2 linked regions of the Nothobranchius furzeri genome follow. The protein of the gene in region 1 purifies or fractionates together with the protein of each later gene. This does not show direct contact. Links are inferred from orthologs where the notes say so. Each region holds a gene or a part of one and is shown on either strand. Other genes may lie near its edges.

The links.
Region 2: the proteins of luzp1 (region 1) and dapk3 purify together in Homo sapiens (affinity purification with mass spectrometry; 3 studies listed by BioGRID and IntAct, with this or other methods). This does not show direct contact. The link is inferred for Nothobranchius furzeri from reciprocal best matches to the Homo sapiens genes LUZP1 and DAPK3.

The regions. Positions count from the first base shown.
Region 1 is NC_091758.1:27,125,777-27,134,765, forward strand, and holds the start of luzp1 (leucine zipper protein 1), read right to left. Parts: upstream 5,046-8,989; 5' UTR 4,844-5,045; coding exon 4,712-4,843; intron 4,647-4,711; coding exon 2,393-4,646; intron 1-2,392.
Region 2 is NC_091751.1:45,570,978-45,579,836, reverse strand, and holds dapk3 (death-associated protein kinase 3), read right to left. Parts: upstream 4,542-8,859; 5' UTR 4,425-4,541; intron 3,646-4,424; 5' UTR 3,602-3,645; coding exon 3,540-3,601; intron 2,931-3,539; coding exon 2,570-2,930; intron 2,378-2,569; coding exon 2,248-2,377; intron 2,112-2,247; coding exon 2,063-2,111; intron 1,955-2,062; coding exon 1,928-1,954; intron 1,847-1,927; coding exon 1,694-1,846; intron 1,573-1,693; coding exon 1,527-1,572; intron 1,420-1,526; coding exon 883-1,419; 3' UTR 684-882; downstream 1-683. Other genes in the region: tropomyosin alpha-1 chain, read right to left, coding at 6,768-6,850, 7,345-7,414, 7,740-7,802, 7,885-7,960, 8,049-8,119, 8,217-8,334, 8,555-8,688. UniProt on the Homo sapiens protein: Serine/threonine kinase which is involved in the regulation of apoptosis, autophagy, transcription, translation and actin cytoskeleton reorganization. Involved in the regulation of smooth muscle contraction.

The sequences.
Region 1 (8,989 bases):
TGAGAGGACACCGTGCTGGTGCGCACAGACAACACAACTGTGGTGTCAAATGTTAACAGACAGGAGGGAACACGCTCTCTTCCTCTACTGAATCTCACCCACACATTTCTGCACTGGTGCAATCTGAATCTCCTGTCTCTCAGAGCATCTTATGTCCCCGGGTACCTCAACCACGGAGAAGACTTGCTCTCCAGGGGCGGACCTCTGACAAAGGAATGGAGGCTCCACCCCGAGGTGGTGTCCCAGATTTGGCTGAGGTTTGGCAGGGCAGTAGTGGATCTGTTTGCGTCAAGCGCAAACACACACTGTCCCCTGTTCTTTTCCCTGACGGACCAGACAGCTCCAATGGGATCGGATGCTTTGGCGCACCCTTGGCCCAACGTTCTCCTCTACACTTTTCCGCAGGTGGAACTGATTCCAGCAGTACTGGAGAGAGTGCACAAGTCGAGCACATCTCTGATTTTGGTGGCCCCTCAGTGGCCCACAAAGTCTTGGTACCCGGAGATCATCAGTCTGATGATAGTCCCCCCATGGAAGCTCCCCATCGGACAGGACCTTCGATCACAGGCACAAGAGGAAGTGCTGCACCCTCGCCCTCATCTATGGAAGCTGCAGGCCTACCTACTGAAAGGTCCAACCTGTTAGCTAAAGGTCTTCCCCCAGCTGTGGTGAAAACTATTCAGAGCTCAAGAGCATGCTCTACAAGGGGTTTATATGCCTATAAATGGAAGGCTTTTGAAGTGTGGTGTCTAAGCAGGTCAGTAGTTCCCTCACAGAGCTCCACTGTGGACATTCTGTCGTTTCTACAGGATCTGCTGGACAAGGGCGTGTCATTCCCCACTTTAAAGATCTACCTGGCAGCCATTTTGGCTTGCCATGAATCTTTTAATGGAGTTTCTCCTGGCGCTCACCCTTTAGCCGTTCGGTTCATGTAAGGGGTTCGCAGACTGAGACCCGTTATTCGATCGTCTGCCCCTTCTTGGGACCTCGCTTTGGTGCTGGAGGCCCTGTGTGGTCCCCAATTTGAGCCTATTGAATCGATCAGTATGAAGCATCTGTCTTATAAGACAGCTCTGCTCTTAGCCCTTGTATCGGCTAAAGGGGTGGGAGACCTTCATGCTCTTTCAGTTCACCCTTCCTGTCTGAAAATGTCATCAGATTGAGCTAAGGGTCACTGCATCCGAATGCTGCATATTTGCCTAAGGTCATCCCGCTCAACTATGGTTCCATGACCATAGAGCTTTCGGGCTTCAGAAGTCCTCCTTTTGCCTCTGAGGAGCAGAGGAGACTGTAATGTCTGTGCCCGGTTTGTGCTCTGCAGGCTAATATAGATCACACTCGGACCAACTGTCTGTGTGTTTGGCCAAACCCTCCATGGGTAAAGCTTTGTCAAAGCAAAGACTTTCTCATTGGATTGTGGAGGCCATTTCGCTGTGTTACAGCGTCACTGGCTCCCAGCTACCCCTAGGGGTCAGGGCACACTCTACTAGAGGTGTGGCTGCTTCTTGGGCGGTGTTTAAAGGTGTTTCAGTTGGCGACATTTGCTCAGCTGCAAGCTGGGCTACACCCCACACCTTTGTGAGGTGTTACCGCTTGGATGTTTTGGCCCCTTCGGTGGCCCGTGCGGTTCTCTCTGCAGGATCTGACTTGCCATCTTAGGTTGCAATCTGAGGCCAGGTTTGATAGCTGCTCATGGGGCGTTTCGATAAGTCCCATAGTACCTTCGTTGTACCGAGTGAATCGACTGAAAGGGAACGTTAGGTTATGCATATAACCACTGTTCCCTGAAGGAGAGGAACGAGGTACAACGCAGGGCTGCCCCATTCACAGCCCAGCTCGGTGAAGAGCGGCTATCGAACTGAGGAATGACAGTGACGCGGTTGCTTATAAGTGGAGGGCGGGGCCTCCACGCAGCGTCACTTTCATTTGCCTTACAGGCGTGATTAAATGTGTCTTCAGCCAGGCCACACGAGGGCGTGATGTCCCATAGTACCTTCGTTGTACCTCATTCCTCTCCTTCAGGGAACAGTGGTTATATGCATAACCTAACGTTTTAGATTAAAACATATATAAATATTAAAAGAATGCATTATTTACCTTAATGGCAGTTGGGGGAGACAAAAGTTACAAAGTGCACGTTCAGAGCTAGCAAATCTTGTGTTAAAGTTAGAACACAGAAAGAGTTTCCTGTAAACTCTAAGCAGAAACTTTTAGTCTTTCGTTAAATAAAAACATTTTTCTAACAGCTGCATGACCCTTTATTATAAACGTTCTACATAAAAAAACCTTTCAAACAGACTTTAGCAAGAATCTGTGCATTACTAACTACTGGATCAACTAGTGTGAATGAACCAAATCAGTTTGGTAATAAATTACTGTATAAAACACCTACCTATAAGGATGTTACTGGTAGACGTGTGGCGTTCTTTAACAGGCAAAGGTTCGCTGGACAAGCTGCTGCTGCGGCTGCTTGTTCTGGAAGACCCAGGGTCGTTTGGGTAAATGGTTATGCTACTGGTCATTTTACTGGTGGTGGTCACTGCTGGCTTGGTGGAGATACTGGGTTTGCCGTTTGTAGACAAGGACTCAGAAATCATCAATTCCTTCCTGTCAATCTCAACAATGGCGGGCTTGATGATGGCATTGGACCTCAGCGCCTCCCGAGGGCTGCACACTCTCTGGATTTCCATCGCTGACGGAATGTGCACGAATCCCTGTTGGCCACCGTCCGAGGACTGAGTCCTACTGTGCAGCTCTTCGTCAAATGAGCTCCTGGAAGAAGAGCCCTCTGAATGAGAGTCATGGACATGTGGGTATCTGGCATACCTGGGGGTTGCAGTCCTACTGCTAATAGTTGCACTTGTCTCTGTGACGGGTTCCACTTCAGATGGCCTTGAGCTGATAGATTCGGTTTCCGAAGCAGAGGAATGACTGTCTGAGCCCTGATCGTTGACGAGCAGCGGAGAGATGCGAGACCTGTAAGCCGCGTACGATCCGTTGGCTCTGGATGAGGTGGATGCCACAGACGCGGACACGGATTCTTGAACCAGGTCTACAGACTCCTGATCCGAGGCGGACGCCACCTCCTTCTCCAGCGCGGAGACACTGGAGCTTTCTGGCACTGCATCAGAGTTGTTTGATTCGCTATCACTACCAACGTAGAGCTTTGAAAACTTGTCCCTGCTGTTTTTCAGGTCCCCATCAGTCTGTTTGTTCACAATCTTCTGTGACTTCTTGTCATTAGCTGCTGGAGGGTAGCGACTCAGAACAGACAACTTCTTAGCATCATTACAAGTGGAGTTTAGGGAGCTGTACGTGGCTCCTCGTGTCCTTTCCTCAGTAAGCCGTGCACCATCTTGTTTTCCAATTTCAGACACAATTGCAGCAGCTGAGGTTTTGGGTGTCCTTCTGGTCTTGATAGCAGGACTGAGGGCTCTCCTCGTAGACTTTGGAGATCTCTCCTCGGTGTGGCTGAGCTCTCTGCTCCTCAGTTTGGTTTCTCTCTTGTGCTGAGGGGAGAGCTCCCTGTTCCTGTGCTTAGGGGAGCTAGGTTCTGAAGCAGCTGCAGCGCTTCTAAATTTAGGTTTCTCTTGTCTGAAAGCTCCCTTCACGATCTCCTGATTCTCAGCTTTGCCATTTTCAAGGACCTTAGCGGGACTGTTCGGATGAATACTGCTGCCTTCACTGCCGTGCTTTTCCAGGTGACTGACCCCGTTGCCTCCAATCCCTCCTTTTCCGAACAGCTGCGTCCTTAGCTGCTCCACCTGTTCACTTAGTTGACGAGCTCGATTTCGTTCCATCTGGAACTTTTCGTGAAGTTCTCCATTTTTAAACTCTGAGTTCTTCAAGTCCTCCTCCACTATCTCCAACTGTTTGAGGCGATTTTTCAGCTTCTCCAATTCCTGCGTCAGCTCCTTTACTTTGTTGTCCTCTTGTGAGCCGCCAAGACCGCTCATCTTCTTCTTGTCCGATTTGTTGACGATGCTGATGTTCTCATCTAGTTTTAAGGAGTCCATCTTCTTCTTGTATCCAGCCAGCTTACTCGTGAGGGAGTAAGTGGACGACAGCTCATCCTCGATTCTTGAACTCATGAAATCTGCACGCCCTGGCTCTGTCGATATGCCAAGGTGTTTCTTTTTTTCTTCTGTCAAATTTAGAATGGTTTTCTCATCCTCCTTCTGTTTCTCCAACAGCCTCTTGCGCTCACTGACAAAGGCCTGAGTGTATCCCTTCAGTTTCTCAAGCTCCATAGCCAAAGCCTGCTCTGCTCTTTCTAGCCTTGTTTCAGAACCTTCCACTTCCTTCAAACGAGCCTTGAGCATTTCCAGCTCAGATGAGAGCTTCCTGGTCAGGTTTTTCTCCTCGTTGAGGCTAAGGCAGAGCTGGCTACAGTCAGACTTGCTTTTATTAAAAGCCTCTTCCAGTTTCTCTAGTTCAGCCATCCTCCGCTGCAGACGCTCAATCTCTGCCTTTAGCTCCTTTGTGAGGTTTTCCTCCTCTTCCAGTTTCTCTCGAACTGTGCGACAAAGGTCCTCAGCTTTGCGTACTTCCTCATCTTTGCCCTGGATCTTCAAGAGATGTTTCCTCAGGGTTTCTACATCGCCAAGGAGTGATGAGTTGCTGCCCTCTGCTTGGATGATCTTGTCCTACGAAGAAGAGTTTCATTAATGTTTACATCACTTAACTCGTCTCATTGTCAGCCAGTACCAACCTGCAGATCCAACAGCTCATCCTCGGACTTCTGCAGCTTGTTTGTCGCTTCTTCCAGTTCATCCAGTCGTCTGCCGAGACTCTGAAGCTTGTGCCGTAGGTGGCGATGCGTCATGTCTTTATGATCAGACATGGCTACAAACGTCTGTGTAATGTATCGGTTGGGTTGGTTCTGCTGTCGGATTATTTAATGACAGACTGATGGGGGTTCCACATCTGTGTGGCAGTGACAGAAAGTCCTAAAGGCTCTCAGGGAAATGCTGTTGCCTCTTTGCAGTCTGGCTCTTCCAGTTGTTCCAGCTGTCTCTTCAAGTCGTCAAAGTTTCCTCAGAGTGGTGTTTAGCAGACAAATCTGTCATCAGTAGGAGGGAGAGGAAATAACACTTAGTCATTCCTGGTTTGTTAATGACAATCATTTGCATTCCCAAAAGTAGTTATGTGAGCCAAGCAAATGAGTCAAAGACCATAGGGATTTGCTTGCACTGTATCCTGTTAACAAACGAAGCAGTTACTCCTGAGTTTACCTAGGCAAATTAGAAGAAGTCTACCATAGTGAAATTGCTGCTGTAATTTAAATGTTTCATTGAATTCCACCTGGTGAGTAGCGCCTCATTCTCTAAACAACCAAATAATGCATCAATAAAAATAACACAAATACATTTTATAACATAAATGATAATAAATGTCCCTTTGAAGAAGAAAAGATGGGAGAAGAAAGAAACAAAGGAATCTTGAATGATTTAGATATTTGATGATTTAAGAGCAGCTGCACAGTGGTTAGCGCTGTTGCCTTGCAGCAAGGAGGTCCCAGGTTCACATCCCGGCTTGGGGTCTCTCTGCAAGGAGTTTGCATGTTCTCCTGGTGCATCGGTGGGTTCCTTCCAAGCATAAGTATCTGTATAAGAAGCGCCAAAGCCGCCTCCACCTCCTGAGGAAACTGAGGTCCTTCGGAAATCCACTCTGCTGTGGTCTGTTGGGGTGCAGGCATCTCTGACCGTGACACGAAGAGACTGAACAAGCTAGTTCACAAAGCTAACTTGGTTCTGGGTACAGTTGAATAGACGTGTGAGAGGAGAATGCTGGGGAAGATGACCACCATCCTAAAACCCCCCTCCCACCCACTGTATTCCACTGTGGAGACCACGGACAGCTCCTTCATAGGCAAACTGAGACATCCCAGATGTAAAACAGAAGGCTACTGTAGCTCTTTCATCCCCTCTGCTGTACGAGTGTATACGTTTTACTGGCATTATCCTGGTACACAATAACACCAATGCGATATTCAGTATGTGTTTAATACCGGATTTACACTGCATGTCTGTGTCTCTTGCAGTATGCTGACTAGTGCCGTGGTGGGTCAAGAAAATTTCTCCCACACAACTGGACTAGGATATTGTTTTTACGGTCTATCGTCTAGAACCCATCTGCCCCATTCTCTTCTGACATCTGACATCAACAAGGAGTCATCGTCCACACAACTGCTGCTCTCTGTAAACCCTAGAGATAGTGTCTAAGTCTTTTGCCATTGAGCCTCCATGTTTTTCACCTTGCCTGTCCTTCAAAGGGCCAGGAGCAGCACATCTTTCAAGTGTGTGTGTGTGTGTGTGTGTGGTGGGGGGTGTTAGCCTTGCACGAACAGACCCCACACGCTTTGTTCCTTCCCTGCTCCTGTAGACCCACATCGATCTGTGTTTTGCTTGCCTGCTTTTGCTGACAGCAGCACATCTCAATCACGCATACACTCCTCCATAGCAACAGCAGCCCCGTCACAACGGGGCAATTATTCTCCCTCGGGGCAATTGTAAGGGTGAACAAAAACTCTGACAGAGAAGGTTAAATCTCACTTTTAGGAAAGATGGTGGAATTAAGAAATCCCATAATATTAGTGATATTTACACCACATTTTTAAATTTCATCAGCCAGTGAAAATGTGTAGGGGGAGGGTTACAAAGTGTGTTAGTTCCCATCTGTAAGCACAGCATGGAGCACAGATCATTAGCAGACCACAGGCTGTTAGCAAGGTCACCATACATCCAACAGTCAGGTCTCATGTATGATTCAGGTGGTCTTTCCACCAATACCCATCCTCCTCCTCCCCCGACATTCAGCTGAGCATCTTATATGGACCCCAAAGGGGAAAAAAAACAATATATTTATAAAAAAAAAAAAAAAGAAAACCAACCGAAGACACGACTACTTATCGACCCCCACTAAGAGCAGGCTCCACACCACACAATGCCTCCCATTTCTCCTGGTTTACAGCCTCGTGTTCAAAGATTCTCCTACTAAAGCTGCAAACCACAACATCACAAGAACATTGCAGTTTTCTCTTTACATTGGGCTGTTGTGAAGACATCAACCGGGGCAGTAAATCTACATGGACATGAACCATGTGCGTTGACTGTAGACAGAACCTCACAACGTGTCATTATGAGTAACTCCAGCACAGAACATATTTTTTTATATTGTTTTATTTTGTGTACAAAAACCAAACCAGCCTACCCTCAATGTATTAAATGTCCTATTGAAAGTAAATGGGGACAATGTGCTTTGAAGGTCAAAGATTACTTTATGACTAAACATATTGAGGGTTCAGATGTGGTGTTTAATCACGCTCTTCCTTTCATGAGGTTTGGTGGTTTAGTAATCTCACAGAGTACAAGACATGAAGCAAATAAAGTAGATTGACTGAGGGGAGGTAGAGAGTGAAAAGACAAATGGGGGAAAATGTTGAACCCACTTGAATGCCAAAAAATACCTTAGTCCATAAGACGTTTTGGGAAGAATTAGTATCACTCATCTGTGGCATGCCAACAGTTTCCCCAACATTTTCCAAATGTCTCAATCTCTTCCAACAAACAAAACAAGATAATTTGAATAAATCCATCAAAAACAGACTAATAGAAGGAGGAGGAAAATTACTTCAGATACATTTTTAAAGAAAGCTCAAAGCGATAGTACAGATCTCTTTAAGAAAGATTCTGTGAAAGAAATATTTTACCTGCTGTAGAAAAATCTTTGGACTAGGAGTGTGCTATGGCTAGTCTGAGTGAGGCCAAGACCAAAATGCATCACCGCTTTTGTAAAACAACTCTAATCTCTATTATTTATAACAGGTCAAGTGAGTCCTATTATATAAACTTTATAAGCTCCCTTAAATCACCCCACATTTTGCATTTCTTAGTTATTACAACAAAAATATCATGATATTCCTGCAGGAAATGTTGCAGGCTAGCAGCTAGCGGCTGCTACCATCATTTGCATTTGCAAATGTTGTTTGGCAAATTGAGCAAACTGAAGCTGGTGGTGAAGTAAAAATTTATAAAAATGCTTAATTGTTGATTTTCCTTAACCTCGAACCTGCTTTGACTAACAGTTAGCCTATCAACCTGGGCAGAACAAGTCATTCAGAAAGATAAAAGGTCAACTTTGTATTACTTTTCCACAGAATCCAACTTTAAACAATTTGAAGCTTTTTTTAAGGATGCAGAAAGTTGCAAAATGCAGCAACTTAACCCCAGAGCATCAAAGCTACACCAGACATAAAAGTAGACAGGAAGTGATCCAAATTGCTAATCCTTGTTCAAAAACTAAAAAATCCACAGGTTCTGTCAGTATCACTTTGGCTTTAACACATCCACAATTATCTTGGGGTATGATTTTGGTCCCCACATGGCATCTCAGTTGAGCCTTGTCCTGGTAAATAATGGCGTTTTGCTAGCTCCAGTTACTCCCGTCTTGGCACTCTGCCTCCTCCCTCCTCATTCGCTCTTTATTTCTTTGCCAGTACTCTGCCTCCCTCTCTCATCTTTCCCTTCCATCCCTTTTTGACACGCAAACCAGTTCAGCCAAGTGTGCGCTTTTGAGGGGTGGCAGTGCATGCAAAGTGAGTCTGGCACCAGTCCGCCACTGCTGAACCAATCAACATATCTGATGCACATATGGTCAGGCCCGGAGTCTCACTAGCTAAAACCAAGAACAATCAAGAGGCAGTTAGGAGGATAGAGAGGTGAAACATATCCAAAGACAACAAAAACAGGTGAAACAAGGTCAGTTCAGGTCATATGTCAATAAAATCCAAACAGAAAAAAACCTTAACATTTCAGAAGAATGGTCGTTTCTCAATATGCATTCTTGTTTGTACTTGTGTACTGACGTCCTTGTAAAACGTCATCAGCAATAGCCCAAGGACTGTTCTAATCCTAAGTATGCATCATGGCAAGACCGCTCAAAGTTCCCAGATGTGTTCTTCCTCCCTGCATCAAGGATGCATCAATGC
Region 2 (8,859 bases), on another chromosome or scaffold:
CTGCTTTATTAGAAGTGCAGATGAGTACAGGATACTACAGACTATACATATATAATATATGCTTTTTGTTATATTTACAGGGAATGTAGATGCTAGATGAGAAACTGATGGAATGTATTGCATGTGCAGAGATGAAGCATAAATCCTGCAGTTTATACACTGAAAAGGTTTCCATGCACCATTTGGTTTACATGACTACTGTGCAAAAGCAGCTGCAGTTTAAGACTAAATGTGGCAAAAATGCTGTTAGCTTGATGGCAGGTGATCGCTCAGCGAGGCACCTCAGGCACTGCAAATACTAGTTTATACATTCCCAAATCAGGCAGCTTTACTTTACAGGTCTGTAATCTGATTCAGATTGATTTAATGATAATTTTCGAGAATAATTCCTGGAAGACAATATTTGGCACCAATTTAACATAAAAGAGAACCACTTTTAAATAAATTATAACCTGTAAAACAAAGCGTTACCCTAAAGCTGTGCTGAAAGTCTCAGTCCAGACATCAGGGAGACTTTAAATGTCGACTGAAACCAACAAAAGCATGTAGCTGTATGAATAAATACCCCTGAATCCCTCATAAATCTAGTATTGTACATGTATATTGGGGAACTTTCTTAAATAATGATGCAAACTTGGAAAAAAAGAAAAAAAAGACTAAAAAAGTTCTTAAAATAATAAAGTGGTAAAAAAGATGCATTCCAACTCTCAGATTGCAACAACAGCTGATTTACAGAACATCAAAGGTCTAAAATAATAAATTAATTTATAAAATGTATGGGAATGACTTCAACATTCTATCCTCTTGACCTACAAAGGAAGGAGTGTTTCAGATGAGCAGCAGCACAGCGTTGGAAGATGACAGTGTGTGACATCGTCCTACTCAGGGCATGCTGCCAGAACCGAAACCATCCATCTCCATGGACACGGACTTGATCAGCTCCTCCACCCAGCGAACCTCAGAGGCCACCTGCTCAACCAGGACCTCATAGCGGTTTTCCAGCCGCCCAAACTTGCGCTTGAGGGTGTTGGCGCTCTGCATAGTTTGCCGGGTGTCCTCCTGGCACTTCTTGCGCTGGGATTGCGTGCGCTGCAGCTCCTGGCGAATGTGGCTCAGGTCGGCAGAGATACTCTGGTTCTCCTCCTTGTACCAGCCCTCCTTCTCCTCATATATGGACAGCAGAGCCACTACATCCTCCTGGCAGGAGCGCTGGTTGCGCTCCAGCTCTTTCAGGCCCTCCTCTGCCACTGCTATCTCTTCAAGCACCTGGGAGAAGCGCTCAAAGTTCACGTAGGTGTTGTTGGGAGGCATGCTGGAGTGGGACTTGATGGTGTACTCCTTCAGCCGTGTGGTCTTCAGACGCCGACGCTCCGTCTTGTGGTCTCTGTCCTCCTGCCGAACGTTCCGTCTCTTGATCACCTGGAGGAGAAAAATATATATATAATCTGGAATAAAAAGTGACACCCAACAAGGAAGGCAAAATGTTGAGGAATCCACTTTTCCTAGAAGATAACGAAAATGCTCACCTTAATCCAGGAATGCTCAAGACTCTCATTTATTGTCATTCTCTTCCTGTGAAAGACAATTATCCATCAGTTTGAAAATAAGTAGACCAAGATATTTATTAGATTATAATTCTGATGTTTTCTTTTACAGAATATACGCAAATTTGAGACAGGAGTGTATATTTTACTTTGGATCCTTGACCAGCAGACGGCGTATAAAGTCCTTGGCCAGCTCGCTGGTGTTGCTGAAATACTCCTCATCAAAGTCGTAGTTAACAGCAGAAATATTGGTTAAAGTCTCCTGCTTGGTCTCACCCAGAAATGGCGATGCGCCGCTCAACCTAAGGTGGGACAGAGTTGGATGTAGACCTCGCAAGACCACAGTGACTCAACAGACAGACGTGATGTGATGCGTTACTCACAGAATGTACGTGATCACTCCGATGCTCCTGCAGACAAGAGGAGACAGGTAAAATAAGGAGGGGAAGCATCAGACGGTTTAGTAAAAAAACTTCTGATGAGAAGGGGGGGAAAAAAGGTACAGAATGGCATCTTACCACATGTCTGCCTCCAGGCCAAGTGGCTCGTAGTTGACTATTTCTGGCGCTGTAAAGAACAGAGGAATGAGCGCTTTAATTCAAACCAGATGTGATCTGAGGGGGAAAATCTTCCACTCTACATGGTTTAGCTGAGAGGCCTGCTTGGAAGAACGTCAGCTGAATTTTAGGTTGTGGGTTCTTACCGACAAACTCTGGTGTTCCAAAGATGTTTTTGAACTCGTTTCCAGCTTTGATCTGGTGAGCGATCCCAAAATCGATCAGCTTGATCCTGGGGTTGGGCACATTCTTGTCCAGAAGCATGATGTTCTCAGGCTGAAATATTAAAGCAGAATAAAAGAAAATGATGTGAAAACATTTTTAATTGTTGTTCCAATATCATTAATCAATATTTGTCGCTCTGAGAAACATCATTAAAGTCGTGCTCGTTAGTAGTTCTGATAAAAACGTCTAAACTCTGATTCTGCCAAATATTTTACATCCCCAGCTTCCCTTTAGGCTGCTGACCTTCAGGTCGAAGTGGGCGATGCGTTTGACGTGAAGGTACTGAACTCCGTCCAGGATCTGCTTCAGAAACTGCGTGGCCTCCTCCTCGGTCAGAGACTCCTTCTCAGCCAGGAAGTCAAACAGCTCCCCGCCGGACACCAGCTCCAGGATCAGGATGACGTCCGTCTTGTTTTCGAAGATATCGTGCAGGGTGATGATGTTGCTGTGCTCGATCTCCCGCAGGATGTTGACCTCGCGCTCAATCTCCTCACGGCTCACACCCCGCCGGCTGGACGACAGGCGGCGCTTCTTGATGAATTTGGCTGCATACTCGATACCCGTGCTCTTCTCTTTGCACTTACGGACGATGGCAAACTGCCCACTGCAGAGGGAAAGGATGAGAGAGACGCTGCATCAACAAATTGTGTTAGAATATTTTAGGGTGAGATTTAAACTGCCCAATAAATGAGGAGGTAATCTACCAGAAAATAGATAAGTTTAGATTAATGCAATTTAACAACAGAAAAAAGAAGCACACAGCATTTTACAGTGCAGTCCATTCTCCATCACTTAATATGTGCAGCTTGTCTTGGCAAACTCACAGCGTTCTCATCTTTGGAGACAAAGCCGAGGTGGAAGGACACACTTGGTGGACTTGATGTCACACTTTTGCTGCATTACTGCAGAAGAAAACCAGCTAATACAGAGAGGTGGGTTTAATCTTTAAAAAATGTTGACTCATCTCCAGAACTGTCCAGCACAGCATAAAGGGATGTAGGATTATTTTTATTGTTGCTGGTGCAATGCAAAAATTATTTAGCCCAGTTTGGATGCTGAGCTTTGGGTCAGATGAGGTTGAAACTGAGCATCTTGTGCCTGATCTGCCTTCAGTTCTCAGAATTACACAATTGTTTTTTTCCAAGCACACATTTGAGGAAAAAAAAAAAAGAAGGAATTTAAAGCATCATGATGTTTTTGATGCTGTTCTTACCTGCCCAGCTCCTCCCCCATCTCATAATACAGCTCTACATCCTCCTGCCTGAAGCCAGCCATGGTGCTGACTCGAACAATGATGGGAGAGATGCCTTAAAAACTTCCTACAGCAAAGGAGAAAAGTTAGACGCACGTAAATAATAACATACTGACGATTAAAAATGTGGCACAAACACAATCAATATGACGATTACAGCTGTAAGCTTTCATTACAAAGCATCGGAGTATTGTTCAGTCCAAAAATGGTAAATCACCCCTTATGACCTTGACTTCTTCCCTCCTTATTTGGTTCTAATCAACACAGCTTCAGTGTTTTTTTTTTCTCAGAGACTTTAGGCTGATGTCAGACCTCTGCATACCAGTCCTACTGACATCACCTCCTGTCCCGGTCCAGCTAACTCTGGCTCGATTAAAGGGGCTGGAATTTGTCCACACAGACATGTTTTAAAGTTTGTTTAGAACAACTGCAGATAAGTTGTATAGTGTAAGGGCTTTTGCAAAAGCATAAGCTACAACATCCGGCTGTTGTGTCAGAGAAGCCAGCAACACAGACCTTCCTCACCGACAACTATTAATAAAAACAGCCCGACTAAAGAGCTTTATTACACGCAGCTAGGAGAATAAAGTCGACAAACATCTATTCAATAGTAACATATTTAGAATGATATGAGAAGAACTAAATTAAACCGTGGCCACAGACGACAGCTAGCTGTACTGGTTAACAAGTTAGCGTAAAAAACACCGGCCGGGATGTCTTTGTTTTCACCACACCTCCGTATCCTGATACTTTAGCATAAATACGTTTATTGTTAGATACTAAAAGTACATTTTTATAATACACAGTTAACCCTAAGAATCTGAAGTCAACAAAATAGTTACTCACGGTATGGATGGCTACCAGCGCTGCATTCCTTATCCTGGGAACTGGGCGAGCGGATCTTTGGTCTGAGCAGTTTCAGTTTAGCCACAGCCAAACAACACGCTTCCGGTTTGTTGTGTCAAAATAAGTATTTAAAACCTGAAATAAATGTGGTATTTTAAAAATAAATTTTGTAAGAATTTTGTTTTATTCAGTTTATTCTGGTCTGTATGTTTTGTTTGGAAAATTGGAAAGTATATAATAGATTTGGTGTATTTAAATGCTTTTAAACTTTATTGTGAAATCTAGCATAACTTATTTTCCGGTGCTGACGTTTAACTTGACAAAGGTAAACATCCAACAGGACAGAAGGAAGGCCATATGGAATGACATCAGGCTGAGAGAATTGACTGAATTACGTCTGAAAAACAAGATTGAGCACGCAACTGCAATGATTAAGGCTCCTAATGAGGAACAGTGGAAAGAAAAAAAACCTTGGTTCACATGGCAGAAAGTTTCATGTAGAAAATGTTGGTTTATTTTTATATAATGGCTGGGAAATGAACAATCATCCATACACGAACGTTTACAAAATATTGGTTACGAGCATACGAGCCAAGCTAATTAGAGCCAAGGAGTCTGTCAGGAGCGCGCACTGGAAGGTCACTGGACAGGTAGCGCGGATCCAGTGGACTGCGCCTTGATTCCAACTAGTTAAACGTAGAATTAGGTTTTTCCAAAATATTGTGTCTTTACATAATCATTCAGTCTGTGACAACAGAAGGTGCTACTTTTTTTGTTTGCATTTATTATTACGACATTGCTGGATAAATGTCACCCTCTTGTGGGGATTTAGTGAGCTTAGACAAGACGTCTTTTTAAAAATGCCTATTTTTCTAATTATGGGGTTTAATTTTTTCACCTATTAGGTAAGTCTTAGCTTTGGCTCTAAATGTTTAGGAGGGGTTGATTTTAAAATCTGTTGAAAATCCATCCAAAAATGGATGAATGAATGTATGATTTTCAAATCAATTGTAGCTTTCAGTGAGAGCTATCTGAAGAAGGCAAAAGGAAAAGAAAACGGTTTCTCTTCCTTGACTTTTTGACGCTGCTTGTGTGACGTCTGTCGCCGCCTGGTGGTAAATAGTTGAAATTACAATTAAAAAATAAACCTTTTCTATGGTTACGCTTCCTGATGGAACAAAAATCATAACATCGTAAACTAATCATGTAAAACGCAACAAAAATTCCATTCAATAAATTACTATAAATTAAGAGAACTTTCAAAAAGAAAACTGTCGCAACTGTGAACATGCCAACGTGCTAAGGTCTTCTTTCTTTGGCTGCTGTTTCCGCTGAATTTATCGCAACCTGGTGGCGATTTAGTGACATTACAACAAATCAAAAATAAACCTTTCTAATGGTACATCGCTACCTAGTATTTACAGTCTATGATCGCTACGCTACCTGAACGCAATGACATATTTTATTCAATAAATTGCTATCAATTAAAATAACGTGCACAATGTTGCAACTGTGAACATGCTAAAAGCTCCATTCTTCTTCGCTGCTGCACTATTTAAGACATTCAACTCTTCATAGTAGACAGCGACTATTGCCATTGAATGAAAGAAAACAGCTCATTCAAATTATCTTACCAAAGCAGGGCTGAATGTTCTGACTTATACACGTTTTACCCTGATATAAAAAAATCAATTTAATATAAAAACAAAACAATTCTATCTGAGACATCTTCCCAAACCATTTATTTAAAAAGTTGTTTGGGGCGGGGTTCTGAATTTGTTGTTGAAATGTACATTTTCAGCCGAGTTTTAAGCTCAATAATTTTTTTGCGGTGAGAAGCAGAAGCATGAAGTTAGTACTACTAGGCTTTACAACACAGTCATGATGCAGATCTGATGATAAAATCAGAATTCAGTGCTGTGACAGTTGTGGGAACAAAGATTAGGCAACTACTGGAATAACGGAACGCACTGAAAACTGCATGTCCATACAGGTAAGCTGTCTGAGAGCGGGTTTTCTGCAACAAAGCAACAGAAATAAATACACCAAACAGCAAAAAAGACACTCTTCATCACTACTGTTCATGTATTGAAAATGACATAATCATGAACTTTATTTTTGCTCCGTTTGGTCTAAAACACAATACCTAGCACCAATACTGTAATTGTTTGGACCCAAAACCATTTTTAAAGACAAATGAACAAAAAAAAAAACATAAATACATAAATGGGATAAAAATGTTTAGCAGTCATGAGTGAAATTGAAAGAATTGAATGGCATGTGGAAACTCTTTTACAAAATCTAGTTCTTTTGTTTTCGTCGTTGTTGGATGTTCTTGTCATTTTACAAACTGTTCAGCTCCTGCAGCGTTTGGTCCAGGACTTGGTGCATTCCTACATTTTCCTCTTTTGCATGTGAAAGGTTCTCTGTAATAAACAGAAGTAGAGTAAACAAAAATTAAATGCAATTATACTTTCGTGCAACACGCAACCCCCAAAAAGTTGATTAGACAAAGAATGAATGAAAGAGGAAAAAGAGTAGAGAAAATATCTTTATTGTGCTTCAGGTCAGAACAAAGGCACAAAGGAGCGGTGAGAGAAGAAGCGACTAAATGCCTTTAAGATGCCACACAGAAGCAAACAAAGTAAAAACACAAGTTTTACAAGGTGTTCATATCATTGAGGGCGTGATCCAGCTCCTCGCTGATAGCCTTGTATCTCAGCTTCTGGGTGTACAACTCGTCTGAAGGTAGGAAGGCACAGAAAGGAGGAAGGCAGGGTGGAGAGAGAGGAACATTGTGAAGACAAAAGGGAGAAAAAGAGAAGTGAAGATAATTAAATCTTAACTACAGTAAAGGAATGAAGAGGCTCAGTGGAAGAGACAGTATGGATGGATTAAAAAATAAAAGTACAACACAAACCTTCTAGGTCATCTATGGTCTTTTCAAGCTTTGAAACTGTCCTTTCTGCAAATTCTGCACGAGTTTCCGCCTTTTAAAAATAATAAAAAAAAAAAGATAAATACATATTATTAGTATATATTAAATATTCTGTAGTACAGAAGATGACTAGGGCCACTGAAAAGAAAAAAGTAAAGAAAGAGAATTCTGACTTTTTCCTCAGGATCCAACTTTAACAACCCTGAGATAAAAAGTCAGAACTCTGACAAAAATCTATGAGTTCTGAGATTAAAGTCAAAATTCTGAGGAAAAAAAGTCTGAATTCTCTTTCTTTACTTTTCATTCTTTTCAGTGGCCCTAACCCTCTTCCGTGCTGAAGCAACCCCGAAGAGCAACTCAAAGAGACGAGAATTTACCTCCTTAAGTCTGTCGTTCAGGACTTTAATCTCCTCTTCGTATTTGTCTTCTTTCTCAGAGTACTAAACACAAAAAGGAAACGGTTTTGTTGTAATCAGCTGTAGTAATCAGTATTTATCAGTTTCTGGCAAACTTCGGTGATACCTTATCAGACTGAGCCTCCAGAGATTTGAGGTTGTTGGTGACATTTTTCAGCTCTTCTTCCAGGTCGCTGCACTTCCTGCAAGAACAACAGACACATTCTTGTTCCAGTCCTTTCAACAAATATTAAATAACAGCGCGTGGCTTTTTTTTGTGATGGTGCGTACAGTTCAGCGATTTCCGCTCTCTCTTCCGCCCTCTCCAGCTCCCCCTCGAGGATCACCAGTTTACGAGCAACCTGTTAAAAACACGCAAAATCACCGCTGATTAAAAGAGGAAATGATGTCAGAGCTGTTTCAAAACTGTACCAGAAACACGGATGTGTGAGCATGTACCTCCTCGTATTTTCGGTCAGCCTCCTCAGCGATGTGTTTGGCCTCTTTGAGCTGCATCTCCTGAATCTCCATCTTCTCCTCGTCTTTCATGGCTCGGTTCTCAATCACCTTCATGCCTCTGCAGATGAGAGTTTAACGAAGATGTGATCCAAGATGCAAAAATGAACTTGTGTTTTGGTCTTAATGTAAAAAAAAGTTCCTATTATTTCACTCTAGAGGTCAAAACAACTTGTGAAATATTCCATTTCTGTGAAGAGTCTTGGTTTTGAAAGATTAAACATAAGAATGTAAAACTTTGACTTATTAGAAGACGTTTTCTGGCTGTTCTGGTCCGTCACCTTTCACTTTCATCTGCAGCCTTCTCGGCCTCCTCCAGCTTCTGCAGGGCCGTGGCCAGCCTCTCCTGGGCCCGGTCCAACTCCTCCTCCACCAGTTGGATGCGTCGGTTCAGAGATGCCACTTCACCCTCGGCCTTTAGCCACACAAGAACAGCGAGAGATTGCAGAAGAAATGTTGGAGGTCATCCGTAAAACATTCTTTCATTCCTTCCTAGAAATCCATCGGATCAACATAATCTTACAGATAACAGTCAAATGATATTTAAAACATCACGTTGGAACACTTAACTAGTCCACAAGTCTGA